Danio rerio: one gene and its partner. The protein of the gene in region 2 interacts with the protein of the main gene of each other region in a pairwise test. Links are inferred from orthologs where the notes say so. Each region holds a gene or a part of one and is shown on either strand. Other genes may lie near its edges.

The links.
Region 1: the proteins of nmnat1 (region 2) and ccnc interact in binary tests that used the Homo sapiens proteins (3 or more experiments, as listed by UniProt). The two-hybrid records come from large-scale screens. The link is inferred for Danio rerio from reciprocal best matches to the Homo sapiens genes NMNAT1 and CCNC.

Annotation. Positions count from the first base shown.
Region 1 is NC_133179.1:6,189,574-6,205,589, forward strand, and holds the start of ccnc (cyclin-C), read right to left. Parts: upstream 9,038-16,016; 5' UTR 8,948-9,037; coding exon 8,916-8,947; intron 8,417-8,915; coding exon 8,310-8,416; intron 7,172-8,309; coding exon 7,087-7,171; intron 6,910-7,086; coding exon 6,840-6,909; intron 6,240-6,839; coding exon 6,188-6,239; intron 4,984-6,187; coding exon 4,928-4,983; intron 4,435-4,927; coding exon 4,399-4,434; intron 4,315-4,398; coding exon 4,223-4,314; intron 2,316-4,222; coding exon 2,248-2,315; intron 1,639-2,247; coding exon 1,559-1,638; intron 1,466-1,558; coding exon 1,347-1,465; intron 1-1,346. Other genes in the region: ngs (notochord granular surface), read left to right, coding at 9,872-10,122, 11,245-11,413, 11,496-11,645, 11,999-12,118, 12,194-12,289, 13,024-13,158, 13,885-13,995, 14,069-14,179 and 1 more. UniProt on the Homo sapiens protein: Component of the Mediator complex, a coactivator involved in regulated gene transcription of nearly all RNA polymerase II-dependent genes.
Region 2 is NC_133198.1:32,500,941-32,517,029, forward strand, and holds nmnat1 (nicotinamide/nicotinic acid mononucleotide adenylyltransferase 1), read right to left. Parts: upstream 9,090-16,089; 5' UTR 9,050-9,089; intron 6,975-9,049; 5' UTR 6,958-6,974; coding exon 6,843-6,957; intron 6,756-6,842; coding exon 6,572-6,755; intron 5,129-6,571; coding exon 5,007-5,128; intron 1,729-5,006; coding exon 1,334-1,728; 3' UTR 1,165-1,333; downstream 1-1,164. Other genes in the region: nmnat1-rbp7a protein, read right to left, coding at 5,007-5,128, 6,572-6,755, 6,843-6,957; protein LZIC, read left to right, coding at 9,634-9,734, 9,802-9,937, 11,373-11,471, 11,556-11,651, 11,742-11,823, 13,418-13,476.

The DNA of each region.
Region 1 (16,016 bases), on a different chromosome or scaffold from region 2:
CAAAAACACATGAAAATTACACAATCCCTTGGCAACTAACTGAAATAAAATAAGTTAAAGATAAGGTAAAGCAGTAGAATTACCGAAGGTGAAACAATAAATGCATTTTTTTAAATAAATAAACAAAATGCTATGACAAGGAGCTTTTGTGCTTCTCAAAAAACTAAAATTCAAAAAAAAGTTTTCAGTAAACGAAGTAAAGCTTAATGAACAGAAGATATTGCAAAATTATGAAATAAATTTTTTTTTTTTTTTTAAGTATTTATGAAAGTATTTACATAACATCTTTCAAAACCATGGGCTAAATCAATATTATTATAATATTATTTTCCACTTTTCTAAAAATAACAGTAATACAAGAATATGAACAAATACTTTAATATCTTTACCTTATTAAAATTAAAGTTACTGAAGTGTTTATTAAGATTTTAATAACTGTAACTTTAATAAGTAAATTAATAACTTTAATAAATGCATAAAGCATAATAAATGCATAATAAAGCATGTTTCATTATTACTCTGTATGTTGAAAACCAGCAGATTATACTGTGCAGTTTGCATGTCATGTTCTCACAAGCTATGAGACGATAACTGTTTTTAAGGTATACGGCGGTTTGGAAAAGTCAAGCTTTTAAAATTTGTCTGCAATACCATTCCAAAAGTATGAGTACACATTTTTATTTACTTTTTTTTTTGTTTTTTAGGACAACAGTATTTTCAGCAGAAAAAAATATCCTAAAATGCTGTTTGAAATTGTAAAAAAAAATCTGTTTTTTAGATAAATAAAGACAGCAGAAGCCAAAAATTCGTTGGTTTACTTTTCCAAAATATTTTAAATGTTTCTCAAAATAAAATATGTTGAGTTTAAAAGGAAATTTTTGTTTTTGTTTTTACTCAGACATTTGAAAGGAATAAATTTTAGAGCAGTAATCACAATACCGTGATATTTTTATCCAAGGTTATCATACCGTCAGAATCTTATATTGGCACATGCCTGGTACTTACAGTAAGTTTCTGCTTGATAAAATATTATATAAAACAAATGGAAGTTATTAAAATCTTAATAAATACTTTAATACCTTTAACTTTTAGAATTTTGCATATAAACCTTTCATACAAGTAAAATTCAAATGTATGAAATAAAAGAAAATATTAAACTTTGCAAGGATTCACCAAATTTTGAAATAGCTGCAAAACATCATTGAATGAATGAGCGTGTTAAAATGAAGTGTAACACAATTGTACTTTTCCTATTGTTACTCTTTGCAACAGGGTTACACACACACAAAAAAATACTGTAGTGTAACATGAATAACTGAGAGGTAAAGCACTGCAATCCATCTTACCTGTTAGGAGGAGGTTTGGGTTTGGGCACCTTGTTAAGCACAGCGGCGATTTCCTTCCTATCGTCGAAGTTCTTCCACTGGTCATAGAGCTTCAGGATCACCCTGATGATCTCCAGGATCTGCTCCATACCAGACATTCACACACACTTACAGGAGACCAACATCCAGAAAAAAAAAAACATTCACTTCTTTTACACCTTAAAGAGTCTTACCTTCTCCATGTCCACAGAGAGCTCAGCAAACCACTGTCTGGCATCTTTCTGCTGAACCACACACGCCACATGCAGGCAAGCTGGAGGAGGAAGAAAACAATTGTTATGCAGTTATTCAGATATAAAACTATAGGCTAAATGATAACTACTACTACTAAGACTACTAATACTACTATTAATATTAATAATAATAATAATAATAGTAATAGTAGTAGTACTAATAATAATACTAATATTACAACTAATATTAGTAACAATACTACCATTAATACTACTACTACTACTACTAATGATAATAATAATAATAATAATAATAATACAGGGTAGATAGAAGAATCAGAGTTAAATTTAATAACTCTTTAGACATTTTTAAGACCCTTTCTATAAATTTTAAGATGTTATTGCAACTTCAGGTTTCAACCGATAACATTGGCGACATTTTAACTCACAGTACATTTACTGAATACTGACTGTAAGAAAGCAAAACTAAAGAGCCTTAGCTTGTGATATCGCCACAGCAATGCAATAGAATTCAGAAGAATTATTCAATGCAATAGAATTCACGAGAATTATTTACCTGACTAGCCTATGAAAGTTTCAGAAGATTAGTTAAAATAAAACTTTGTGGGACGTTGGCTAATTTTTAATCAGCTCTTACATCAAACTGAGCTAAGAAATGTTGTTCTTACCCAGTGCAATCATAAATGGAGGGTAAAGCAGACACAGGTCTGTTCTGTAGGTGTCGTTCACTATTCTCCTATAAACACATGAAAAACCATTCAAATCAGACATCTGTATACATTTATCCATCTTGCTTTTTAACATGTGAGACTTGTAAAAAACAGTGATCAACAACAGTGCAGTAAAATGTGGATCTAAATGGCAAAAAATGTGTGCAATGCAATGAGTTTGTCTTGTTTCTAGTCCAAATATCTAAAACTTCTTAAATCAAGAAACATCTTCAAGACCAGGAGTGTCCACACTGCCCTGGAGGGCCGGTGTCCTGGAGAGTTTAGCTCCAACCCTAATCAAACACACCTGAACAAGCTAATCAAGCTCTTACTAGGTATACTAGAAACTTCCAGGCAAGAATGTTGAAGCAAGTTGGAGCTTAAGTCAGCAGGACACCAGCCCTCCAGGTCCAACTTTGGAAACCCCTGTTCTAGGCGTTTAAAATGTTGTCAGAAAAAAGTCAAAATTGAGTGAGTTTTTCCTTAATGCTAGCAAAATAATCTGCCTAATAATCAGGGGTGAGTAAAAAAAATTTTTTTTGGTTTGCAATAAGATTGTTTTATGTACCCCATTGGCAGATTATTTTGCTTGTTTTAAGAAAAAACTCACTTAATTTTGACAACTTTTTTCTGAAAACAAAACAATATTTTTACTTGTCTAATGTCTTGATATAAGAATATTAAGATATTTTGACTAAAAACAACACAAAAAACTAAATAAAAAAGCATATTTTTGCAGTGTGCTGAATAATCATTCTATATATAGTCAGATATACATATTCTATATGCAGTATATAGTCAGACTGTAATGTAATGTGATGTATTTTTTATTTACGGAAATAAACCATAGCAACAGCAACCAAGGCTATTTTCATGGCAAGAACATTTCAATAATAAATAAACAATTTAAAACAACAAACAAATAAAAACACAAGTTAAGTAAGATATTTTTGTGTTAATAATACATGATAAGAATTCTGGTTTCACTTTGCTAAAAATGTCCTTAAGAGAGTTCATTTCATTAAAAAAGTCTTCTGGAATTATTAAAAGCAGGACAGTCCAGTGAAATGTGTGGGGAGTTGTGCAGAACAAACATTGAGTGGGGTCTTCATCTTTAAGTGAAAAGGCGTGAGTTAATCTTGTATGTCCAACACAACATCTAGTAAAAATCACTCGATCAAATAGTCTTAAAATTCTGTTTGACATTTCAGGTTGTATTTCATGTAATTTATTAATTTCCAATGCATTCCACTCCTCTTGCCACTTATTTAAAATGTAGATGTTGATAAAAAGGTATAGTCAGACTGAAACGCCTCAATAATAAGAGCTTCAAAAAAATGTTCAACATCAGAAAATTTGTCTAACAATAATTTCGGTTTGTTTTTCACCAAACCTTATCATATGTCTACAGAATAATTGCAATACATGGCATTTGTTACATGGAATTATTCTTTGATATGTTTGCATTTTTATTCATATATTAACATTATTCTTATATTTACACACCCTCAAACCTTTATAAACCTTTGTGTTTATAAAGGCTGCTGAACACAAAACAACATACTTTTTGAATGTTTGAAACAGTTGACCACTGACTTCCATAGTAGGAAAAAAGTCAATGGTTACCACATTCCAACATTTTTCAAAACATCTTCTTTTGTGTTCAAAGGAAAAAAAGAAATTCAAACAGGTTTGCAACGAGTGAAGATTGGCAGAATGTTCTGTTTTGGGTGAACTACCTCCTTAAGTGTGATTGTGATTTAACTACCATTACACAGGCATGCATGAGCATCAAGAAGTTCTCATGCAAAAAGGAATGAACAGTATAGGGCATTAAAAAAACAACAAAGAGATAGACGATTGGGCGAACAATCCCTTTAACCAGCATATAAAAGAAGTAGAGGTTTCTACTGAATCCACACACACTCCTCACCAAGCCAGCGGCAGCAGCATGTCCTCCTGCCCCATGTCCTGCACATACTGCAATAGCGGCCTGTACGGATGATACACGATCAGACAGCAGTCCTGAAACAAAACCAAACCAAACATCCATCAACAAACGCTGAAAACACAACTTCAAGACAACCTCAAGAATCCATCAATACCAACCATGAGCTCCAGCAAGTAGAATTCACACTCCAGGATCTAGCGAGATAAAGGCATAAGTTCACTGTGAAATCATGGCGTTAGCATGTTATGCGCACTAATTGGCATTTTCCCCCCTTTACTAAATGGAGACCGCAATGTTTCCTTTACACCACCTGACTAGTGCTGTGCTGAATAAACAACACTGCTAGTAATCATATGGCACTTATCACCAGCCCGAGACATGAACGGCCAAAACCAGAAGTCATCTATCAGGATAATGAGACTTTCCTACGAAGGTGTTGCGAGTGTGAGGAATTTCACTCCTGAACGGGTGTCAGAAACACTGCATCATCAGCACACACACACTCAAACTCTCGACTAGTGTTTCCATCATATGAATCAGACAAGTTACAAGAAATTATTATCTGGATGTATAGTGATGCTGTCAGATTTCCAAAATCTCCTAGTGAAGTCATGCTCTCGGGAAAGACTCTCACATGACGGTCTCATCATGTTTTCTGATGTAGTGAAACAAAGACGTTTGACTCACGTGGTTCATTCTGAAGGGAAACTCCTTTGGGAAGGCATAAGAGAACCTTGTTTTCACTATTAAAAAAAGAAAAGTCTGAGAAATACATATATATTACAAAAGTGACTATTGAGGAAGACATTAAACTGTTTTTTTAGTATAATCGGGATATGCTTATATTTTGTTTTCATTTTAGTTTTTTCATGATTACATTTTTAAACACGTCTATATAGTGTTTTGTTAGTTGTTTTTATATATCAAATTAAACTAAATTAAATTTAGTAATAGCAACAATTCCTTGGCTATTAGATCAAATAAATTACAATATAATATAGATTTTCTTATTTGAATATATTGTGCAACTTCATATAATGTATATATAAAAAGTGTTTGTATATGTATATACAGTTGAAGTCTGAATTATTAGCCCTCCTTTGATTATTATTATTTTTTTAAATATGTCCCAAACGATGTTTAACAGAGCAAGAAAATTTTTACAGCATGTTTGATAATATTTTCTCTTCTGGAGAAAGTCTTATTTGTTTTATTTTGGGGAGAATAAAAGCAGTTTTTGATTTTTTTAAACACCATTTTAAGGACTAAATTATTAGCCCCTTTAAGCTATATTTTTTCGATTGTCAACAGAACAAACCATCGTCATACAATAACTTGCCTAATTACTCTAACCTGCCTAGTAAACCTAGTTAAGCCTTTAAATGTCACTTAAAGCTGTACAGAAGTGTCTTAGAAATTAGTTATTAAAACTTTTATGATTAGAAACGTGTTGAAAAAAATTGTTAATCAGAAAATGGGGGAAAAACTAAACAGGGGGGGGGGGGGGGGGGGGGGCTAATAATTCTGACTTCAACTGTATAAAGAGTTCAGATGAAAAAACTTCAGTGACGTCTGAAATTTTCCTCTAAAAGTTGTGTTTTTCTCAGCCTCCAATATTTATGATCAGTTACTCCACTTTAAAGGCAATGCAAATAACCTATTATTTGCCATAAGAGTAAAATTACTGAAGTGACACACAAAAGCCTGAGGAAAAATGCTAATTTTAGATGAAAATCTCAGATGGGACTTTTCTCTCTTTATATACAAAAAAATAACTTATTATAAAATATACAAGTACAATTTAAACTATATATATACATATAATATAATACATATAATATAACATATAATAACATAATAATAACATATAACATATAATATAATATAAAATACATATATTTTATTAACATAAAAAAAAATTATGATTGTAAAATATAACCCACTTACACACAGACGTTGCTGCTGAAATAAGCCGAGTGTTTGAAACGACACCAAATTCCTGTTGACAGCAGAATTTTAGTGTTAAAATGCAGTTTCAAACATCTTTCAGCAGAAATCTGAATAAATATTGTGTTTACAGTGCTCAGTACACCCCTCACAAATCTCTCTTTTAAGTTAATATTTTCTATAGGATGATTTACAATATTATATTTGTGCATATACATTAGTTTAGTCAGTACTGAAGTCAAATTCTGGAGCTAAAAATATAAAAAAATAAAAAGTTAAAAAAAAAGTATGATGACGGTCTAAAAATTAGGTCAAATGTATATAATAAGACAAATATTAAATAAAATTGTAAAAAATAGAATAAAAATCAAGAAAAACAAAAAAAATGTAACATATAGTTGAAATTTCAGTTTGTCATTTTTTTGCAATGTTTTGCATGACTGTACATGCATTATCTTTCTATTTCTAAAGATGATTGGTGACAAAAAAAATATTTTAATAAATATATCAGTTTAATAAATCTGTTTTGTTCAAATATGCCAAAATCTATTACCTATGATGACTGAGACATGGTAAAAAAATATTTATTTTCAAAAAATGTTTTACTCATTTATGCCAAGCACTTTATATTATATACAGACAGAGTATTTACCTCTACTTTAGAGGCCAGAAACACACATGTTGGGGCCATTAACACAGGGTCAATGCTCTTCAGAGAGTACCTGAAAAAACAGCCAAGAGTTTTTCCTTTTATTTCATGAACTAAAGAGTACTTAAATGAAAGCCACAGAACAAAAATAGAGCACCACATTACATGAAAAACACAAGAGCCTAGATGAATCTAGAAGAGGAATCTTTAGAAGAAAACAAGCTTTTAATGATGGCACTGCACTGCTCACCTGGCATAGAAACGCTTAAAGTAGACAGTTGCCGTGGCGATGACCTGCTGTCTGAGTTTCAAGTGTTCGCCCAAGGCTTGAATCACTGTCACAAGAGGACGAATTAAACATTTTAAAGTGTTTAAGCTGTTTAAACTTTTAGGCTTTAAGTTAGCTTTGCATTTAAATCCCAAAACCAAATACAAATGAATACAAAACAGAAAAAAATATATACATTTCAATTAACGCTCCACAGTATATGTGGTAACCTAACACTTGGTCATATGGTCAAAAAATTAAGGCTCTAAGCATCAAAACATAAAGTGCCATTATTTTTCATACATTTACAGATAACTCCCCCTAAAATGTCTAACATCAAATAAATCTTGAAAGATCAATCATCTGATGATATATTAACAGATAACAGTGTAGCCCAAAAGTATTGTTATTTAAATATGTTAAAATGACAAAAAAGATTTACCAATTGTCAACAAAACTTATTTAAAATACAACAAAATTGAACAAGATCACCTATTGTTTGCATATTTTTAAATTATTACTACATTTAAATGATATAAATACCTTTGCAAACATGAAAAATATATATTTATCTATTACACCAAAGTATGAGGAAACAATATTTTCACAAAAGCTATTTAAAGCATGAAAGTAGACACTTTACTCATAGTTAATATGCTTACTATGCATAATAAAAACTCATGTTAATAAAAGTTGTTGCACATTGTCTCTTAAACCCATCTATCATTAATTGATCGCTCATCAGATGAGAGACTTTTATTGATTCCTAAATTTAGATTGAAATCTCTGCAGCTGCTGCTACACTTTGGAATGATTTCCCCGTCTTCCATTAGATTAGCTGCAAATCTGTTTCGTTTTTAATCCAAGTATAAAAACTATCTTGTTTGACAAAGCACTGAACACATGAATAAGATTTAGTTCATATTTTACTGGCGTTTAACCACGTAAAAGCTTTTAATTAGCCTTTTTATTTACTTGTTTTTGACTTATTCTTGCTGTTTGTGGATTTTAGTTAATGTTAAGCACATCCGTCAACATGGGTTGCTTTTAATTATGCTATATAAATGAACTGCCATTGTCATATAACATGAGTAAATACTATATTGTTGAATATTTTGGTCTTGCTTTGCACTTAGTCTAGAAATACAGTTTCAGATTCAGAAAAGAGAAAACAAAACAACTAAATAAGCAATTTCTCATCAAACCATTGGCAAAAAATATCTGCAGTTTCCAGTACTCCTCTTCTGTGAGGAACTTGAGATCTTTCTGTCTCTCCTTCATCAGATCCTGCTTGTCCAGAACCCACTGCAGACTGAAAAGAACAAAGACACTTTCAATTCACAAATCATTAAAGTGTAACACACATATATTAATATTTACGTGTAATAAATACACTCTACAAGTCAAACAACAAATGTATCAGTCACTTCATATCTGGATATTAGCATTAAAACATTACTTTAATTGAGTTTATAAATGTAAATTTAATGTGTGAAAATGAATTCACGTAGTAAATAACCGATATTTATGCAAATGATTCACAAATTAATTTCTCTGTGGTTTCTTCACTAGCCAGACAGCTAAAGCTAATAAGTCAACGATTTAAACTATTAGATTTATAAAAGTCAAATAATCTAACCTCCGTATTTGAGTCTTGGTTATGACCAAAATGTGGTACTTTGTTCGCATTAATAATTCAAATATGACAATTGAAATGTTTTTTTATATCTCTTATGGTCCCGTAACCGCAGCAAAACCCCCAAAAATCCTTTATTGTGCGTGATTTAGGTAGTAAATACGAAAATACTTACTAATGTGAACTCTGCCAGAAGTTCCCTGCCATCTTGAGGTAGAAAATAAACCTTAATGTGCTGTTAAATTGTGTTTAAAATAATCGATGCTCCGTTCAGATCAGATGAGGAGCGCGACAGAAAAAACACTCCGTGGAACTTCAATGTGAAGATTAAAACGGTCCGGGAGGAAACAAACAAACGCATCAGTTCCGGAAGAGTTTTTGCGGACTTTACTGGCATCAACTTTATATTTATCTAATCGAAATTATTTTAATATAATATGATATAATATAATATATTATAATATAATATAATATAATATAATTAAATATAGTATAATATAATACAATATAATATAATATAATATAATTATAATTAAATATAATATACAATATTATAATTTAATTATAATTAAATATAATATAATATAATATAATATAATATAATATAATATAATATAATAAAATATAGTATAATATAATACAATATAATATAATTAAATATAATATACAATATTATTATTTAATTATAATATAATATAATATAATATAATATAATGCAATATATTATAATATAATGATATTGTTTTGTATTAATATAGATTCTCATGTTTTTTGTCTTTGACAGCCATAAACAAACTTTACATTGTCATTTTTTTATTACATTATCATTTGTTTTTACCCAATATACAAGGCTACAGTGACCATAAACCGTTAATTTATGATTAATAATTAGCATGCACCTCCTCGATGAAGTCAACACCAGGCTACTGTCAATCTCCAAAAAGTTTTCGACACTTTTAGTGCAGAGAATGTGATTAATAAAGATCTCAGGCATCAGGAAAACTCGCTCCTCTATTTTTACTGCGGTAAAACTCTTCGCGGTGACCCGTCAGATTGTTCAGCAGCGGGTTAAGTTCAAGTCAGCCCGAGGTTCGAGATTCCTCTGCGGGACAGCAGGTATAAAACTACCGCATGAATGAGTGTGAGGATACAATCACACGCTTCTGTTTCAGGACCACCGGTTTCAACATGAGCTACAGCCCGGAGAGGATGTCTTCTTACCGCAGGCACTTTGAGGGAGGCCTGGCCGCCTCGTCCACCCTCCAGGTCCGGGTCTCCAGCCCTTCTCCAACTCGCGGGGCGACTAGACACCGGTCCGCCAGCTATTCCCGCAGCACCGGCCGCAGAGCGCTGTCCGGGACACGCAAATCACGCATGACCAGGTAAAGAGACATCTAATGTAATATATTTAATGTTCTCTAATAAACGTGCTCATACTCAACAATCAAATACGTATGTAGCCTAAATAAATAATAAAAAATTTGACTAAGTTTTAATTTTAGGAAAAAACTTTACCATAGTATTTCACTGTGTTATTTGTAGCCTAACAAATGTAATGTAAAATTAATGTTCTGTACTGTAAGTGCTCATACCGGACAATCAAATAATGATGTAGCCTAAAATATAATTAAATATTTTACTGTGTTTTTAAGAAAAATATTATAATTTTACTGTGTTATAATCAGTAGCCTATAACAGATTTAAGTTAAAAATATGTAAATCAATAATTAAATATTTTAACTGTAGGCTATATATTTTTAGGAAATAATAGGCTATACTTTTATTAGCAGCCTGACACCTTTAATGTAAAGAATAATGCAGAATAAATAAGGAAAATAATATATTATTACTGTGTTATTAGTAGCCTAACACCTTTAATGTAAAGAATAATTTATAATAAATAAGGATAATAATATAATTTTAGTAGTCTAATTTGAAGAAACTGTATGTAAAAATAATGTCACTTTATGAGATATACATTACATGACTGAGCAGGCTACAGCTACAATAATATTTTAGTTAAAAGATAATACAGCTACATGACATGCTAAATACTGCAAACCTTTCAACACATTTTATATAGTTTTGGTTTCTCTTGATTTGTCCTCTTTTTATTATATATTTTTTCTTAACATACAAAATTGTGCTATTATTTTAATGTAAAGAATAATGAATAATGCTACCTAATATAGGCCACCATACTAGACAATCATTACTATGGTTAAATAAAATTATTATGTAGGCTAATCTAATATTTTTTACTGTATTTTTTGAGAAAAATAATATAATTTAATAATGAGACAATAATGAAACATTATTTAATATAATATAATATTACTTCATTATTATCAATAGCAATGTTTACTCAGTTATTACTGCGTTCTTACTACTAGTCTAATTTCTTTAACTACAGTCTGTATTTCATATTGTTTCGTGAAACATATTTTTTAAATATTACAATTGACTGTAATAACATCTCTTTGCATGTCTGATTCGCTCCACAGCAGCGTGAGTATGGGGACGCTGTGTCTCGGGATGGGTTTTGGTGGTGCTGGAGGTGCAGTGGATCTGGACGCTGCGGCCGCTGAGAATCAGGCTTTCCTCAGCACACGCACCAGCGAGAGGAAGGAGATGATAGCCCTCAATGACCGGCTGGCTGTTTACATCGAGAAGGTATAAAAAACGTCATGCCTTTCACTGTTTTGGCTCTCTCTTTGTGGTATCTATTTTGAAGACCGGTGTTTTGTTGGTCCAGGTACGTTCTCTGGAGCAGAGTAACAAGCTGCTGGAGACTGAGATTAATGCCATTAAAGGCCACCATGTGAAGCCGTCCGGCCTGCGTCTGCTTTATGAGGAACAACTGAGGGAGATGAAGAAGATTGCAGACCAGATGAAAATCCAACGGGTGAGACATGATGAACCACAGAGCCACTAATGCACACACTATTCACCAATTTGCCCTACTCGCTCATAGTTTTCCCCCATAATTTTATTTTCACAAAAGTTATGTGCATCTAATTATGTGCATCTAATTAAATGTAATTATGTTAAATTAAATGTCTATTTAATCTTTATTTTTCATGATTTTATTATGATTAAATCCAAAAAATATTGACTTTGAAATGAAATAACTGTGTTTTGGCAAATGGCTGAAATGCAATAATAATAAAAGCAGAACCCCGGTAAAGTCACTAATTGACCGACACTGATTGGCCTATTAAATGTGGCCATATTTAATGTATGTATAATGTATTACAGGACCTGGCAGTAGCAGCAAAGGATGCCATGGCAGGTCAGCTGGAAATGCTGAAGGTGAAATACGAGGAGGCGTTGGAGGCCAGGAAGAAGGCAGAGCTCGAGATTGAAGCCTTCAGACCGGTAAAGTCCAATGTAATAACAAAAACACAGCTGTTTTTACATAACAATGGTGTCTAAACTCCCTCTGTCCACTAGGATGTGGATGCAGCCACCTCTGCCCGAATTGCCTTGGAAAAACGACTGGAAAATCTGGAAGTGGAGCTCGAGTTCTTGCAGAGGATTCACAAAAAGGTGCACAACACGCAATTTACTCACAGCCACGCTGTTTGCTACTCAGCACAAGTTGATTGGTCAGATTCTGCAACCAATGAAAATGCTTGTTTAACAATTAAACATTATGGCTCAGTGTTCACTGTAAAATAAGCCAATTTGAAGCCCTCCACATCCTCCAGCATCACCTGTCTAAACCTCAAATGGTATGCATGTGTGCTACTTTATAGTCAAAACCCCTTCCCCTTCCCCTGAGGGTGCTTTCACACCTGTAGTACCTTTGGTTCAAACCAAGGGTAAACATTATACATTGTAGCATTTTCAGCCATTTTGTTTCTGTTTCACACCAGACTGCTCCGAACCAGTTTAAATACACCAAAATATAACAGCATCCACATCAGTGTATGGCTGGCCGCATTTTCTAAACTGCATTTTGCTAAACTTCCTAAATCCTCCAACTGCACCTGTCTAACTGTGGTGATGGAGGATATATGTACACCTATTCATAATCAAAATAACTTTCTGTTCCTCTTCAGTCATATATCTTCCCTGATTACATGTTTAGTGTGAGGGCGGGATCAATCTGACAATCAAATAAAATCGACCAATAGCAAACAACAACCATACGATTTATTCACAATAGACGAAATCAAGCCCCTCCTTTTTCAACCTTTGTTTGAGGAGCTGTTTTTCCCACAACAGAAAACAATCTCAGCTTGAATTTTTATTATTGTTTTTTTTTTTTTTTCTGTCAGGAAATCGAGGAGTTGATGGCTCAAATTTATGGATCTGTGGCTAAAGTAGATGTGGCCTTCTCTTTGCCCGATCTGGCGTCTGCCCTCAAACAGATCCAGGCTCAGTATGACAGTATCGCTGCGCAAAACCTCCAGGTAAAAATAAATACAGTTGAAGTCAGAATTATTAACCCCCCTCAAATATTTTTCTTCATTTTTAAATATTTTCCAAATGATGTTTAACAGAGCAAGGAAATTTTCACAGTATGTCTGATAATATTTTTTTCTTCTGGAGAAAGTTTTATTTGTTTTATTTCGGCTTGAATAAAAGCAGTTTTTAATTTTTTAAGCACAACTTTGGGGACAAAATTCTTAGCCCCTTTAAGCTATATTTTTTCTCGATAATCTACAGAACAAACCATCGTTATACAATAACTTGCCTAATTACCCTAACCTGCCAAAGTAACCTAATTAACCCAGTTAAGCCTTTAAATGTCACTTTAAGCTGTGTAGAAGTGTCTTGAAAAATATCTATTAAAATATTATTTACAGTCATCATGGCAAAGATAAAATAAATCAGTTATTATAGATGAGTTATTAAAACTATTATGTTTAGAAATGTGTTGGAAAAATTTGCTCTCCGTTAAACAGAAATTGGGAGAAAAAAATAAACAAGCGGTCTAAAAATTCAGGGGGGCTAATAAATCTGACTTCAACTGTACTATGAAATGCTCAATCTGTCATTTGTGTATGATGAGATGATTCATCTGAAGGGGCTCATGCTCTTAATAATAATACATTTGGAAATAAAATGTAAACAATGCCACTTTTCATAGCACTGAACCTGGATCTTTTTGTGTTTCCTTGCTGGCGTGTGTCTAGGATATGGACGCCTGGTACAAAGGAAAGTTTCAAGATCTAAACAATGTATCGTCTCGGCACATGGAAACAGCGAGAAGCGCCAGAGAGGAAATCATGGGATACAAGAAGGAGGTGAGGGAAAGCGTGGGTCACTATTAACACCAAATGATGCAGAATTATTAACATTCTGCACACGTGTTTACAGATACAGAACAAACAGAGGGAACTGGATGCCCTTAAAAACAGGAATGAGGCACTGCTGCTGATGATCAAGGAGGCGCAGGAGAATTACAGGAAAGAGGAGGAGGAGCTACATGTAAGGACACGCCCCGATACTAAATACTATTATTAAATTCAACTCAAGTTTATTAGTATAGCGCTTTTCATAATAAGTATTGTCAAAGCAGCTTTAATAAAGGTGTACATTGTTGCATTACAATCCAAATCAGAGGTTGTTAGCTACCATAACTTTATTAGTTCCTAATAACCGTAACTAATTAACAAGTAACCAATAGCTTTTAACAGTTAAAGTGATTATATTCAAGCATACTAAAAACATGTTTGTTTTGATCATGTGTAGACGCGTATAGAGACTCTTAAAGAGGAACTGAGGTCTATCAAGGGGAAGATCGCGCTGCTGCTGAGAGAATATCAGGATCTGCTCAATGTTAAGATGTCACTGGAGATTGAAATCACCACATACAGGTACTGCCATTGTATCATATTATCTTGAGCAAGATATTCATTTTTGTTTAATTGACAAGACTGTAAACATCCCGAATCAATAGGGGTGTAATGGTCATTTAATGAAATTACTTAAAAGGCAGAATTTAAATGGGTTGAGGCAAGCAAAGTCAAAATATTATACATTTTATTATTATTTTATAATACATTGGCAAGGCAAGGCAAGTTGATTTATATAGCACATTTCATACACAGTGGCAATTCAAAGTGCTTTACATAAACAGGAATAAAAAAAGACAAGTTTAGGAACATAAAATGCAGACAATAAAATTATTAAAAACAGATGAAAACAAATTAAAATGAGTTAAAATAGGTTATAAAAGAATGAAAAAGAAAACGAAAAACATAATAGTGCAATCTGTCGGATGTAGCACAGTGCTCATACAGTAAAGGCACAGCTAAACAGATGTGTTTTCAGTCTCGATTTGAATATGCCTAATGTTGGAGCACATCTGATCATTTCTGGAAGCTGATTCCAGCAGCGAGGGGCGTAGTGGCTGAAGGCGGATTCACCCTGCTTAGACTGAACTCTTGGAACTTCTAGTTTATATGATCCTAAAGATCTGAGTGATCTGTTAGGTTTGTATTCAGTGAGCTTATCTGTAATGTATTGAGGTCCTAGGCCATTTAGTGATTTATAGACAAGTAATAATACTTTAAAATCTATTCTGAATGTAACTGGGAGCCAGTGTAGAGACCTGAGGACAGGTGTGATGTGCTCTGATTTTCTGCTTCTGGTCAGAATCCTGGCCGCAGCGTATATTACATATTATGTTTATTTTCCATATTTTCACCCATACAGTAATTTAATTTAGTTTTCAAATGTAAACAAATGTTATTGTTGCCTCAAATTCAATTACTAATTGAATCACATCAATAGCTGCCTATATTTATATATAGGCTTGGTTAATTAGGCAAGTTAGGGTAATTTGATAAATCATTGTTTAACAGTGGTTTGTTCTGTAGACAATGGAAAAAAAATATAGCTTAACGGGGCTAATAATTTTGACCTTTAAATGCTTTTAAAAATATATAACAACTGCTTTTATTCAATCGGAAATAAAACAAATAAGATTTTCTCCAGAAGAAAAAATGTTATAGGAAATACTGTGAAAAATTCCCTGCTCTGTTACACATCATTTAGAAAATATTTGAAAAAGAAAAGAAAATTACATGGGAGGGCGAATAATTGTGACTTCAACTAATATACAGTTGAAGTTAGAATTATCAGCCCCCTTTAAATTTACTTTTTCTTTTTTAAATATTTTTTAAATGATGTTTAACAGAGCAGGGAATTTTTCACAGTATGTCTGATAATTTTTTTTCTTCTGGAGAAACTCTTATTTGTTTTATTTCGGCTAGAATAAAAGCAGTTTTTAATTTTTTAAACACAATTTTAGGGACAAAAT
Region 2 (16,089 bases):
TCACTACTTACACTGCATCCAAAATGGCCGACATACAAAAAAAGCACATTTTATGGGAAGGAGAGAGGTATGTAACATTTAGGAACATTTAACACACACAAACAAACAAACAAACAAACAAACAAACAAACAAACAAACAAACAAACAAACACAAACACACACACACACACACACACACACACACACATGTTTATTAAAGTGTCAGGAACAATACATTTAGCTTTCAAAACTGTTAACTTTGTATTTTGTTTGTATTTCACAATATCATCTATTTTTTCTATGTCCACTATATGGACACCAGGACCATCTTATTGTAATTAATGACTGCATTTTGTAGGAGGCAAAACTGAAGCAAAGAGAATTGTTTATAACAAATATAGTTGAGGGAGACTCTGATTTAGAGTCTGACAATCAGACAATTAGAGAATTGGAGACAATCAGAGAATGACAATCAGCTTTAAATCACTTTTATGTTAAATTTGTTTTGGATTTACATTTCTTCTTTTTTTTCAGTTCGGCTCTCTTTCAGAATAAACTGTTTCAGGATTTTTTAAAATAAAAATGAAAAAAAAAAGGCTTTTGTTTTGTTACATTAATATTGGATTAATATCCCTTTACAGCCATATCCTGTACAGTTTTGTTTTCTGAGTTTGGCGGTAGTTTCGAACTAAAATGGTCCTGTGGTGTACTACAGTGGACATGCTGTAAAATTAAAAATAAATACAAAATTAAAATAAAAACTCTCAATTGTAGATTTTTTTTATCCCAAAGGATGTAGGAAATCACAGAAAAAAAAAGATACAAATTTTCTTTGGGTCTCGGGAGGATATGCCAGAATATGGCAGTTCATTCTGCTGTGGCGACCCCTGATAAATAAGGGACTAATTCAAAGGAAAATGAATGAAGAAAATACATTTAACCAAATAAAATGAAGTAATGTTCAACTTCATTTGTTTGTATAAATTCAGCCATTATATATAGTTTGCAACCACTTGCCTTAAAAAAATTGATTAAATCCAATGAATCATTTTTTTCAGTGTTGATTGGACATAAAAAAAATTCAGCTGTCCCCCAAAAAAACACAATACTGTTGATTCAGCTCATTTTAAATAAGGAGTCTTAATAAATCTATTTGAGTGTAAACTATGCTGAAACTATATTTATGAATGTATCAATCTCTTTATTTAAAAAAGAACTTAACACATTAAAATGCAAAAACAATTTCACAGCACTTATCATGTATTATTCATTCATTACAATCAGAACAGTTCAAGGAAGCAAAATGGACTATCTTCTGTGCAACGTTCTTCTGTCAAAGTTCCAGAAGCAGCTTTACTCAGTGTTGGTGTATCTCTGCAGAGGAGCGAGAATGACGCCTGCGTTCTTCTGTTCGCTCTCAGCACTGTACAGACTGTGATCCTGAATGTAGCGAACCACTGAGTCAGGCAGCAGGTAGCGCACACTTTGACCCCTGCGCAGGGCACGACGTATGTGTGTGGCTGAGATCTCATTGGTCACCCATTCTCGAACCACACTGATGTTCTTTCGGTGTTTGTACAGGACGTCCGACTGGTTGATGAACTTTTCTGCATCGCTGCCACATCTGGTGATGCAGGTCACGCCGTAGCGGCCCACAATCTCCTCAATGTCTTCAGGCTTCCAGAGGTTCGGGACACCAAACGACTCCAGCACATCAGCACCGCACAGCAGATTCAGATGAGAATGGTCTGTGATAGATATTTAGGACAATACTACTACTTTTGACTCGCCTTTGACAAGGATTGTGAGAAAATTATGATTTAATTGAAATATGTGTCCTTTCTAGGATGCTGAGAGGCTACTATAGTATATTTAATTACAGTATGGTTAGGCTATAAATGTAAAATACTGTTCTTGTTGCTTTGAGGAGTTTTATTGTTCTCGTTTGCAAGTTGCTTCATGTAAGCATCTGCTTATCTGGCTAAAATAAGTTGCACTACTGTTCAAACATTTGGGGTCACTGAGATAAAACGAAAATAATAATACATTTATTAAGCAAAGATATATATATTAAACTGAACTTAACAATGAAGACATTTATGTTGCAAACGTTTTTTTTTCTATACTTTTGTCACTTGGTGAAGTTTGTTTCTCGCCACTTTCGCCACTGGCTTACTTGGTTTTCAGTGGACTTTCAGCAGTGAAAATTAAACTACACTGAACTGAACTTCAACTCTGAAAACTGGACTGAAGCAGTTTCAATTTACTAGAACTTCTATGTTAAGCTGCTTTGACAATCTACATTGTAAAAGCGCTATAAAAATAAAGATGAATTGAATTAAATGGAACGAGTTCTAATTTCAAATAGATGCTGTTTGTATGAACATTCTATTAATTAGTATAAATTATACCAATGCATGTTTATATTCAATTTTATTTATTTAATGTTATGCGAGAGTTTAAGAACCCCTTGGAAAACCCGTTTAAATAGGAATCATTATTTACAAAATAAGAGAGGTCATACAATATATTATATTGTATTTTTTATTAATAAGATTTGAAATCTAGAATAGGATTTCTAGAATAAGATATTATACATAAAATATGTTTACAAACAGTCCACAAAATAGAAGATAGTTGTAATTGATAAAAATACCTACTGCAAATGTTTGGTTCTTAATGCTGCGTGTGGTTACCTGGATGATCTGAACCTATTTTAACACACTTTAATCTGTTTTAATCACTTTTATTATTTGCTTTTTATACTTGTCTCTTTTATTCCTGTTTATGTAAAGCACTTTGAATTACCATTATGTATGAAATGTGCTATATTAATAAACTGGCCTTGCCTTGCAACAGTTTTGTTTTGCTTTTTGATGATTGTTCATGATCCACTTGTTTGTTTTGAAAACTTAAACTGCCTCAATTTTCCAGCATCTTTTGTATATTTGAAGCATATCAGCAGTGACTGTACACTACCTAACAAAAGCCTTGACGTCATTCCCAATTGTAAGAGCAACAAATAATAACTTGACTTCTAGTTGTTATTATTATAGAAAAAGTGGTAGAAGTTATGTTTTACTGATGAATCATCTGTTGAACTGCATCCCAATCATCACAAATATTGCAGAAGATCTATTGGAGCCGCATGGACCCAGGATTCTCACAGAAATCAGTCAAGTTTGGAGAAGCAAAACCATGGTTTAGGGTTACATTTAGTATGGGGCATGCAAAAGATCAGCATAGTGTATGGCAACATCAACAGCCTGAGGTATCAAAACATTTGTGCTGCCCATTAAATTACAAACCAAAGGAGAGGGCAAATTCTTTAGCAGGATAGCGCTCCTTCTCATACTTCAGCCTCAAATCACTTCGAAGTTCCTGAAAGCAAAGAAGGTCAAGGTGCTCCAGGATTGGTCAGTCCAGTCCCCAGATGTGAACATTATTGAATATCTCTGGAGTTAGATGAAAGAGGAGGCATTGAAGATGAATCCAAAGAATCTTGATGAACTCTAGGAGTCCTGCAAGAACGCTTTCTTTGCCATTCGAGATGACTTTATTAGTAAGTTATTTGAGTCATTGCAGAGATGTATGGATGCAGTCCTCCAAGCGTATGGGAGACATACACAATATGAATTCTTTTTTTCACTGGACCATGACTTCATATTCTATACTGTACATTATTTCTGTTAAGTGACAAGACTTTTGTCTAAGCAAAGTCAAACCTTACTGTTCTAAGTAAATAATTCAAAATCAAGACATGATCATATTTTATTTTGGTTAAATAAGCAGAATCTAGAGGCCTTTGCCTTTTATATAAGCCACTTCTGATACAAAATGATCAACTAGAAATCAATTTATCATTTGTTCTTCTTTTCTTTAGGAATATGTCCAAGTTTTGTTGAATATATCTTTTTTTCCCCTATTTAGTACTCTACTTCAGAAGAAACAAAATATAATAATTACATGTTTCCTGGAAAACAATTTACATTGACCTTCCATCCCTTAATGCATCTTGTTTCCTTCTGGAGAGAACATTTTTTAATAGTTGTATGGTGGAAAATTCAATCTTACAGATCTTCAATGTTTTTGAAACATTGCGTAAGCATCTTTTTCATCTTAAGATATAGTCTGGGATATGGATAAGATCTCTGTTTGACAGAGTTTGTGCAGAGCCTTAATTTAAGTTTGGGAAAGAGACCCAAGAACTTACGTCAGGTATTACCATATAGATATGGCTGTCTAACCTTTTCTTAGAAAAGAAGAAATCATCTTTAAATATAATTGCACATGTTTGTCTCTTATTCAGAGTTTTACATGGCCAGGACAGTTCCAGGTAACCATAGAGTTTTAAAACGCCTTTTTATTATATTTTGTTTAATTTGATTGAGCACATGCTTAATGTTTTCTTAGGGTATGTGTATAATCACCCTTTAAAAGGTTCACAAATAGATTCTCTTCCTCCTTTTTCATTTTTTATTTAATTTATTTCCATAACAGATAATGTTTGGCTACTAATTTTTGGAGTGTTATAGTAAGTTATTTTGTTTAGCTCCAGATATGGTTTCAGTACTGACTGATCTAATGTATATGCACAAAAGTAACATTGTAAATCATCCTATATTTAATATGCAATATATTATAAATTCTAATAATAATGACTCAAATGTAAATTTCTTTTTACTTAGGGCCAATTATTGCAGTGAAGACTGGTGCTCACTGCAGAACAAAAAACCAAGTCCCAAAAAACATTTGACCTATTTCACTTCATGTGTTGTTTCGATTCTCAGTTACTAGACCTCTTTTGTTCCAAGTCCAGAGGAATGCTGTCAGACAGTGCTTAGAGGTGCAATACTGTAAACACGCATAAAAATCTCGCTGCACCCTGTTTCTCTCCTGTCCTTAGGGCACATCAGCCATTCATTTTATTGGCTGTCGTCAGGTCTTCTAACAAAGCGACATTTCGAAAGTAAACATATTTTAAAGTCTATTGGTCTTTTGTACTATGAAGGATAATTTACTATACCTGCTTTTGGGTTCATACAAGAAGGGCTCTTTTTCTCCATCTTTCTCCTCTTCCTATACTTCCCAGTATCCACATTATCACCGTTGCTGCTATTCTCGCTGGAAAGAACTGCATGATGATGCCTAACAAAAAAGACATACAATTATCAGATTTAAGGCAAGACACTGCAGGTGAAAATGAAAATAATTAACTTACGTATACAATTGAAGTCAGAATTATTAGCCCATCTGTTTATGTTTCCCAACTTCTCTTTAATAGAGAGAAGTTTTTTCAACACATTTCTAAACATAATAGTTTTAATTTCTAATAACTGATTTATTTTATCTTTGCCATGATGAGAGTAAAAAATATTTTACTAGAAATTTTTCAAGACACTTCTATATAGCTTAAAGTAACATTTAAAGGCTCAACTAGGTTAATTAGGTTAACTAGGCAGGTTAGGTTAGGTGGGTTATGTGCAGTCAGGTGCAAAGTTCTTGTTTAATTTTGCTATATTAGAGTAAATAATTTTACAATGGGATTTTGAGCATCTACATCACTTCATTATACAAAACATTCTGCAAACAAGATTTTTTTTACCAAATTAATTTGTAAATAAATTAAACTATTCATGAATTTCTTTTTTGTAAAAAAAAAAAAACTTTAAATTGTGAATATGTATAGAACGTAAAGTTTATAACTTAGAGAAAACTGCAGGTCAATAGGGTGAAAACTTACGTAACATATTTACCACCCTGCTTCCAGAATTGATTGACTAAAATCTAGGTTTTTGAAATGTTGTATTTAGATATGCAAATGAGATATTCATTAAATATGCACTAATTTCCATTCATTTTAGCATAAAGAAATAATACTGGATGAAGTCAGGTTCAGACTTGTTTAATTTATTTGACATATTACAGTCAAAAGAATTTACATGCCAATGGTATTTAGGTAATCTATATCACTCTACAATTCAGAAAATACCTCAAACAAACAGATTTTTTAAAAAGTGTCACTTATTTTTGCAGAATAAACCACAGATTAATCAAGCAAACTATTTATGAATATATACCACTGTAAAGAAATAAATGGATTTAAATGAATAAATAAATATGAACATGAATAAAACTTAGCTGATTTAATTCTCGACTGTAAAGTTGGACATTACATTATAAATATACAGTCAGAATATGTGTAATAAATAATAATAATAATAATAAATAAGTGCAATAAAAGAATCACTTAGATGTTTCAGATCTTTTCTTTCCATTAAACACTTAAAATAGAGAAATAAAACTTAATAAAAAAGCCAAAAAGGGCAAAACAGGTGCATGAAGACAGTGTTTTTGCCTGCAGTGTCAGATTTTAATATCAACATCAAAACAATCATTTTGACGCAGTAGAATATCAAAGATGACGTCCATCCACACAAGTTAACACACTATCAGATGGGACACTGAACTCATGCAAAGACTCAAAGCACAACAACAGATGCAAAACTCGAAGGGTGTGACATTTATCTTTCCCTTCAACAAAAGTGAAATGTTCTGATCTGAAAGCACATGATCTGAAGAGATTCTCACCGAACAACTTTGGCCGTCTCCACCCACTCAGGCTGTTGACTCTCCCAGTCATCCACCGTGATCCATTCAGAGCTCTCCGTGGCCAGTCTAGCCATCTCCAAGCGATGACAGGCTTCAATCAGGCCTTTCTTTTTATAGCCATCTCCAACTGGAGAGATTATGCCTTTCACCACTTTGTATCTTCCTGAGACAGCAAGAAATCTGAAGTTATGCATGTGTAATATGCAGGTTTTAATTGATAACAAAAGCAAGCGTGTGTCCAGAGATTTACCAGTGTCCTCAAGGTGATCGCGAGCCAGTTCGAACATTCGCAGATGCATATTTGTGATGGGGTTGAAGGAGCCACATGCCAGCAGAACCAGCTTGATTTTCTCTTGTGATGCCATCGATCATGAGAAAGATGCTGTCGGAATAGAAGATAAAATAAATCAAGACAATTAAAGCGCAACTAGGCATTTTATTTTTGAAGACAGGAATTTGTAGCATAGATTTCAAAATGATGAAAAGTAATTGTTATTTTACAATTTGACTGTCCTTCACATAACTAGGTCAGCAAAAAAGCTTTTAATTATATATATATATAAATATTTTTATTATTCTATGTATATTATTCTATATTATTATTAATAAATAGTTTTTTATTATTACTGTTTCGAAGAATAAATCACAGATTAATCAAATAAATTATTTATTAATATATACCACTGTAGAAATCTTCATTCATTCATTTTCTTTTCGGCTTATTCCCTTCATTAACCTGGGTCGTCACAGTGGAATGAACCACCAACTTATCCAGCATATGTTTTACACAGCGGATGCCCTTCTAGCTGCGACCCATCACTTGTAAACACTTATGCACACTCATTCACACACATACACTACAGACAATTTAGCTTACCGCATGTCTTGCGCTATAGGTGAACTGAATAAACTAAACTGGCCATATTGTATGTGTGTAAATGAGAGTGTATGGATGTTTCCCAGTACTGGGTTGCAGCTGGAAGGGCATTCGCTGTTTCGATTTTTCTTTACATTAGGAAATTTCCATTTCCTCTTATAAAAAGAAATAAAAAGGTTAAAAAGTCAAAGATTTTATAATAAATAATTAATAATAAAATGTTAAACGGTCACATGCTCTTTAGTCATATTTGGATAAATACGGGTCAGAATACGTTTGCAATTTTATTTCAGTATAAATATATCTGTTTCACTAAATGCCCATAAAACATTATTTCTTCAAAATCTACTAATTTTTACAAAAGTTATTTGAAATATCAAAGCGGACACTTTCTTGACATATGAAATTGCTTTTATGTGATGTTTAATGTGATTCAGACATTCTAATAATATTAATATAATCAGTGTTGGGGTAACAAATAATGTGATTTGCATAATAATATTACTTTTTCAAATAACAAGTTATTACTTAAAAGATGCTCTACATAAAAAAAGTTATAATTGAGTTACTTTTAGTTTAATTATCATGCACTCAATGAGAAAATATTTGCTTTATACTTTCAATAATCTGTATATACGGCACATATATTGGAAGTTCTCAGAAGATAACATTATGCTAAACTATTATTTTTTTTAAAGGTAAATGAAGGTTATAGTGCGCTGTTAAATGCAGAGCTCCTCTAATAAAAAAGAAAAAAGAAAGAAAAAACCTGCAAATTCTGAAAAAGATGCTATTAAAAAAAAGTAACGCCAAAGTAATGTATGGCATTACTTACCATAAAAAGTAACACAATTAATTACAATTTGGTGAGTAATGCAAGACATTACTTTCAAAAGTAACTTTCCCTAACACTGACTATAATTATATACACCACACACACACACACACACACACACACACACACACACACACACACACACACACACACACACACACACACACACACACACAAAAACTTGTCATTTATAAAAATAAATAAAAAAATTAAGTTTGTTCCTGAGGAAATTCATAATGCTACGAAATCACCAAATCTTTCCATAAAGAAAAATCTGAGCTAACTCTCTAAAGTTCTTCCTGTTTCAAAAGAAAGTAAGAGGAGGTATTTTACTATAGTTAATGACTATACTATAGAAAACAGGGAACAAGGAAGGAGGGAACAGGAAGGACATTCCTACACAGTAAATTCTATGTAGTGAGTAATTAGTTTACGATCAATTAACCTATTTAATCAACTGGGCTAAAGAATGATATTAAAAATAAATGCACAATTGTGCGCAATAATGTGTTATATAAGCAGGACTAAACGTGTTTACTTACTACCAAATCAATACATCAGTCTCGTGCTTTCCATTGAGCAGAGTGAAAAAACTTCCCCAAATTTATGATAACAAATGCCGCGAAATGTAACGTTAGTAAAGAAACAGAAAACCTGATAAATGTGTGGTTGTCAGCACTATATATACACAACACATTTTTACTGTCTATGAAACAACATAGACTGTACGGTATACAAACATTACCCTTCTCAGGACAGCTGCAAGTGTTGGACAAATGATCAATGCGCGTGCGCACATCATACGCAAGTCCTACGCTTTCGTTGTGTTCGTAATCGTCAACTCTGCGCAGAGTTTACGCAGACCGACCATAGGCTTTCTATTGAAGATCAATAGCAAGCCACACCTTAGCAAACTGGACTTAGGAACATAGCAATTGTAATTTTATCTTTAACATTGGGAGTTTTATTAATTAAATAAGATACAGGTGAGAGATACTATTTTATTAAGCTAAAACCTTTTCGTTTAGGATTCTTAAGTTCGTGCATTGGTTTGTTTATATGTGAGTGCAAGCTAAGCTAACTGCGCAGTCAGAGAGAATAAAGCACTCACTGTCTACAGAATGGGGTTTTAATCACTGATAGTAAACCAATAACAATATTTAACTTCACATGACCAACAGTAGACACTATTTCTGATCATATCAGACATGACAGGTGTGACATTCACAGATACAGTAGCAACACTATAAGGTGACCATGTTCTGTATGAATAACCTTAGAGATTGCTGAAAATATAATTTTGGATTATTTTAATTTTTTTTTTAAAGAATGGCTTCTAGAGGGAAATCAGAAACAAGCAAACTGAGACAAAACATGGAGGAACAGCTGGACCGGTTAATGCAGCAGCTCCAGGATTTAGAGGAGTGCAGGTAAACACATCTCACCAGCTCTTTCAATAACAAAATATTACAAGATTATGATCATTTTTCATTGCAGAGAGGATCTTGAAGAGGAGGAATATGAAGAAACCAAAAAAGAGACACTAGAACAGCTGAGCGAGTTCAATGACTCACTCAAGAAGCTGATGTCTGGGAATATGACACTAGTTGATGAATTAGGAGGAATGCAGCTGGTAAGAAAAAGTACATTGAATTGTATTAAAGAGATAGTTCACCAAAACAATAAAAGTTTGCTTACCCTCAAGTGGTTCTAGACATTAAAGAGTTTACACAAAAGAAAATATTTTGAAGAATGTTGAAAACCTTATTGAGGTAAAGTTGGTTTTATTTTCACACATTCATTCATTTTAATGCTATCTATATTGTTTACCGCATTCCTTTGAATATTCAGTGAGAAAAATCACATGTAACTTTAACTTTAAAACTACATTAGCACTATTTAACTGACTGTAAATCATGTTGTACTTTAATAAGTCATTTGCTGTTGATGTCATTTCCCAATTTAGAATTTGCAAATAATTATTTTCTGAAACTATATTATTAAGGGGAATGTCTGAATAAGTAAATATAAAACCAACTTTACCTTTTTAGAAAACTCTAACCATTGAGATCCGTAGTATAAACAAAAGAAAAATAATATATCTTTTTTAAATACTGTAAAATACTGTATATATTAATAAGAATATGGATGTCAATGGCCACCAGTTTTTCTATAATTTAAAAAAAATACAAATTTTATGTGAGTATGTGTTTTTTTAAAGTAGAAAGAAGCTCAAACAAGCTTGAAATGAGTGGAGGTGAAGCAAATAATGACAGAATTTCCATTTCTGGGTGAACATTCTGTTTAACATAATATTAATTTACATGTTATAGAATTATCAATTATTATTATACATTATAAATCAAAGTGTTTGGGTTAAAGATGAGGCGTCCACATTGTTAAATGTACAATTAATTCAATACACATAGGAAGTGTCTAGTCTAATGGTTCAGCTTTCTTATATAAAAATGTTAAAATATGTATGAAATAAGGTTTCATCATCATTTAGTGTAACGTTCATTAGTTTAACAGAGGGCTGGGCCATATGGCAAAAATGCAATCTCGATAATTATTTTACATATTGAATGATGACGATGTATATTTCGATATAAGTTGTTAATAAACCGAATAATTAAAAATGATTGAAGCCACAAAAATGACTGGGTCCCTTAAATGGCATAATATATTTTCGGCCAATAAATTTTCAGTGGCCAAAAAATTCAGTACATCTCTAATATCAACACACTTTTCGATTCCCATTGTTGCACATTTCTGCAGTGATTGGCTCTTAGATCATTATAGAGTAAAAAAGTGCAGAGCTTATCATTGTTATTGACGTACATTTTATCGTGATTCGATAAAATATGCTTTATAGGCTCAGCCCTAGTTTAACATACTTGTTTTGTTCATTATTCAAATGTATAACAGAAAAGTGATCATACTAAACTTTAGTTACATGCTTAACAACGTCTTGCTGACAAATGGGTAAACCCTAGGGTCAAAAAATCTAACTCTATTTCACACAGAACAACCTGTGATTGTTTAATGTCGAAGTAAATTTTTCTTAGGCGATCCAAGCTGCCATCAGTCAGGCGTTCAAGACTCCTGAAGTTATTCGGCTGTTTGCTAAAAAGCAGCCAGGGCAACTGAGGACGAGACTGGCGGAGGTGACCAACATTGTTTAATACTGACATTTTTCAAATATACGACCCCCTGCGTGCTTATGCTCATGTGCTGTTTGATGAATTCAGATGGACCGCGATGTGATGGTTGGAAAGCTCTCTAGAGATGTGTTCACTCAGCAGAAAGTAGAGATCCTCACAGCTCTGAGAAAACTTGGCGAGAAGGTGAGAGGGTTATTACTGACACTTAACTGATACTGCGTCTGTTTCAAGACTCGTGTGTGAAATGATATCTATGCTTGTTTGAATGTGCAGCTGACAACAGAGGATGAGGCGTTCCTCGCTGCCAACGCTAGTGCCACTTTGAGCCATTTTGAGAAGGTCACTGCGAGTCTGGGTAAGATGGCAATCAATCACGTGTACTATTGAGGCAACCTATCATGTTTTCTGGAATATAAGTCAAGTTTTTGGATCTGAAATCCAAAGCAAGTTATATAATGCAGTTCATTTACTCACCACTGGTCATCTGATGTCACTTTCTTTTCTTCTTCAGTAGAATATTGAAGTGATTAGTTCACCCATAAATCAAAATAAAGTTTTAACTCATCCCCTATTTGTTTCAAACCTGTTTGAATGTTTATTCTTTTCTGTTCAACACAAGAGAAGATATTTTTTACAATATTGGAAACTGCTAGTCTTCGACTTCTATAATATTTTTTTGTTCCTACTATGGAAGTCAATGGCTACAGGTTTTCAACATTCTTCTAAATATCTCTATTTGTGTTCAATTGAAGAAAGAAATTCATAAGTTTGTATCATTTTGATGGTGAGAAAACTGATCAAACTAGATAACACAGTTCATTTACTCACCTCAGGTCATCCGATGTGACATTTTCCTTCAACAGAACATAAAGCCATACAGTTCATCCTAAAATGAAAATAAAGTGTTTACTCATCCCCCCATTAGTTTTAAACCTGTTTGAATTTTTTCTGTTTAACACAAGAGAAGATATTTTTAACAATATTGGAAACTGCTAGTCATCGACTTCCATAGTAGGAACAAGGTATACTATGGAAGTCAATGGTTACAGGTTTTCAACATTCTTCATGATATCTTCATTTGTGTTCAACTGAAGAAAGAAACTTATAAAAGTTTGTATTTTTTTGTGGGTGAGAAAATTATGAGTCAATTTTTATAAAACAACACAGTTCATTTACTCACCTCAGGTCATCAGATGTCACTTTTTTTTTCTTCAGTAGAACATTAAAGTGATCAAATTCAGCCTAAAGTGAACATTTATAAGTTTTAATTCATCCTCCAATTATTTCAAACCGGTTTGAATGTTTATTTTTTTCTGTTTAACACAAGAGTAGATATTTTTAACAATATTGAAAACAGCTAGTCATTGACTTCCATAAATACTATGGAAGTCAATGGCTAGGGGTTTTCAACATTCTTCATAACATCTTCATTTGTGTTCAGCTGAAGAAAGAAACTCAAAAGTTTGTATTTTTATGAGGGTGAGAAAATTATGGTCAATTTTTACAGTTGAAGTCAGAATTATTAGCTCCCCTGAATTATTAGACCTCCTGTTTATCTGTTTTTTTATATAATAAATGATTCCCTTTTTGGCAGTGTTTTGGTTGATGCAGGGTTTTCTTCTCCCGTATTACACAGAATTGTCACACTATAAATGTCTCTTACTTCTTTCCCTAGATTAACATCAAGAAGTCGTAACAATGAGAAATGTTGTTTTTAGTGAACGTCACAGTCATTTTTGTTTGTTTTATACTTTTAATGTAAAATAGCTTTGGCAGGTTAGCAAGAAGAGCTAAAATAAATATATTTTCAATGTTTGCCAACATTTGGTTTTATTTAGGGTCTACCTGTAGCTTATCTATACTACATCACTGTGACTTATTTTCTGGAAAACATGGTATGCTTGCTAAATATGATGTTTTTAATAATCAAATATGTATTTATTTTCCAGGATCTGAGGATAAGATAATGGCCTTAGCCAGTTCTGGAGTTGGAAAGACTCAGACATAAAGTTTTACTTGGACTTTTCTTGTGAGCATGGCCTAAATGCTGCCTGTGACTTTTACAATATTTACATTTTGTGTTTGTTTTCTTTTAGTTTTTTGTAATATTCATACTTGGAACAGAACTGATTGTATGTGCCTTTATGTCTTCAGATGATCAGTCATTTGGTTTGTATCATGTACATTTTATGTTTGATTGTACGTTCTGATTTCGGTACGGTGAAAAAAAGTGTTTACATTTCTGCTGAAAGACATTCACAGTCATTTTAGAATAGCTCTTATTTTCCTGAATACAAAGAGGTAACATTTCCTTTATTCACATTGAGTTTATTTGTTTAACCCTCTGGTTGTAATTTAATTTATTAACCTTGTTATCCAATTGTTTGCCAAAAAGCCTTTTGGTTCTAGTATTTGATAGTAAAATAGACTGTAAGTAATCACTATGCATTTTAATTTGCTTTTTAACCACTGTGATATTTGTAAATATTTTGTATGTGAATATATTTGATGATTAACATCTGAGAAGTTGTCAGTGTTGTTTTCTTTTATAATTTGTCTTATTTTATTGCATTACAAATTTTACAAATAGGAAAAACTGCTTTGATTATCAATCCACCTTATGTGTGCACACTTCTAAACATTATACACTGCAGTTTTTTTTATATAAGCGAATAGAATGTGAATGTAATTTTACCATAACATTGACTGGCTTTTGAATCTTTTCTGAATCATTACGCAGCATAGAGAATTATTATTAGAGATAGATATTCATATTTTTAGTTTTTAAGCACCAGGGGGCGCTCAAGTCCAACAATACTGAGGTTAAATCGAGCATCAACACTATGGAGAGATGAGAGATGAAATGCCTGAGGAAAGATCAAGGTGAATCATTAAAAAAAAAACCTTTTGGATTTTGAAACATTTCTTTCTTTCCAACTTAAGAAGGAGGAGGATGATACTTTTTGTTTTTGTAGCAAATATTACATTATTTAGGCATAGAAACAAGCCCATATACATATTTGTATTGTATTATATGCATTCATTCATTTTCTTTTCAGCTTAGTACCTTTATTAATCAGGGGTCGCCACAGTGGAATGAACCGCCAACTTATCCAGCAAATGTTTTACACAGCGGATGCCCTTCCAGCTGCAAACCATCTCTGGGAAACATCCATACACATCACACACATACACTACGGACAATTTAGCTTACCCAATTCACCTTTACCACGTCTTTGGACTTGTGGGGGAAACCGGAACACCTGGAGGAAGCCCACGTGAACACAGTAAGAACATGCAAACTCCACACAGAAATGCCAACTGACTCAGCCAGGGCTCGAACCAGCGACCTTCTTGCTGTGAGGCAATTGTGCTACCCCATGCGCCACCGTGCTTTCCTGTAGTGTAAAATATATTATTAAAATGCATTTTTAAATAGTAAATAAAAACATATAATTATTATTATAATAATTATTATATAAATAGCTATATAAAAATACAACATACAGTTAATGTAAATGTACAATGTACACAATCATGTATTTAATCTATAAATATGTATATGTGAACATTATTGTGATTTAAGTCCACTTGCAATATGTAACACCCACATTTACATACACAAATTTTAGATTCAATATACAAATCTATATTTATTTAAATATTCAGTGTTGGGGAAGGTCATTTTTGAAAGTAATGCATTACAATGTTGAGTTACTCCTCAAAAAAGGAGTTATGTACTTATTTTTTATGGAAAGTAGTGCATTACGGCACTGCCTGAGACTTTTTTTAATAGAGGGGCTTTGCTTTTAACAACACACTGTATAACCTTTATTCACAATTGAAGTCAGAATTATTAGCCCTCCTGAATTATTAGCCCCCATGTATTTTACCCCCAATTTCTGTTTAACAGAGAGCAGATTTCTTCAACACATTTATAAACATAATAGTTTTAAAAACACATTTCTAACAACTGATTTATTTTATCTTTGCCATGATGACAGTACATAACATTTGACTAGATATTTTTCAAGACACTTCTATACAGCTTTAAGTGACATTTAAAGGCTCAACTAGGTTAATTAGGCAGGTTAGAGTAATTAGGCAAGTTATTGTATAATGATGGTTTGTTCTGGAGACAATCGAAAATATATATCGCTTAAAGGGGTTAATCGTTTTGTCCTTAAAATGTATTTTAAAAAATTAAAAACCGCTTTTATTCTAGTCAAAATAAAACAAATAAGACTTTCTCCAGAAGAAAAAGTATTATCAGACACACAACAATTTCCTTGCTCTGTTTAACATCATTTGGGAAATATTTAAAAAAAGAAAGAAAATTGTTGACTATAACTGTATCTTTAAAAAATAAAAATTATAATAATAAAAAAAGATAAAAAATAATGTTGCCTTCTGAGAACTTTCTGATGCTAAACATGCCGTACACGGAAACAATTCTTTGGATTTACTTATTTATTTATTTTTACGTCAAGTTATTGCAAACAATTTATTTGGGCTGAATTTAAACAAACAAATTAACTTGAACATTATTGAACTAAATTTGTTTGTTTAAATTCAACACAAATAAATTGTTTGCAACAGTTCTGCATGCAATACTTTTTTC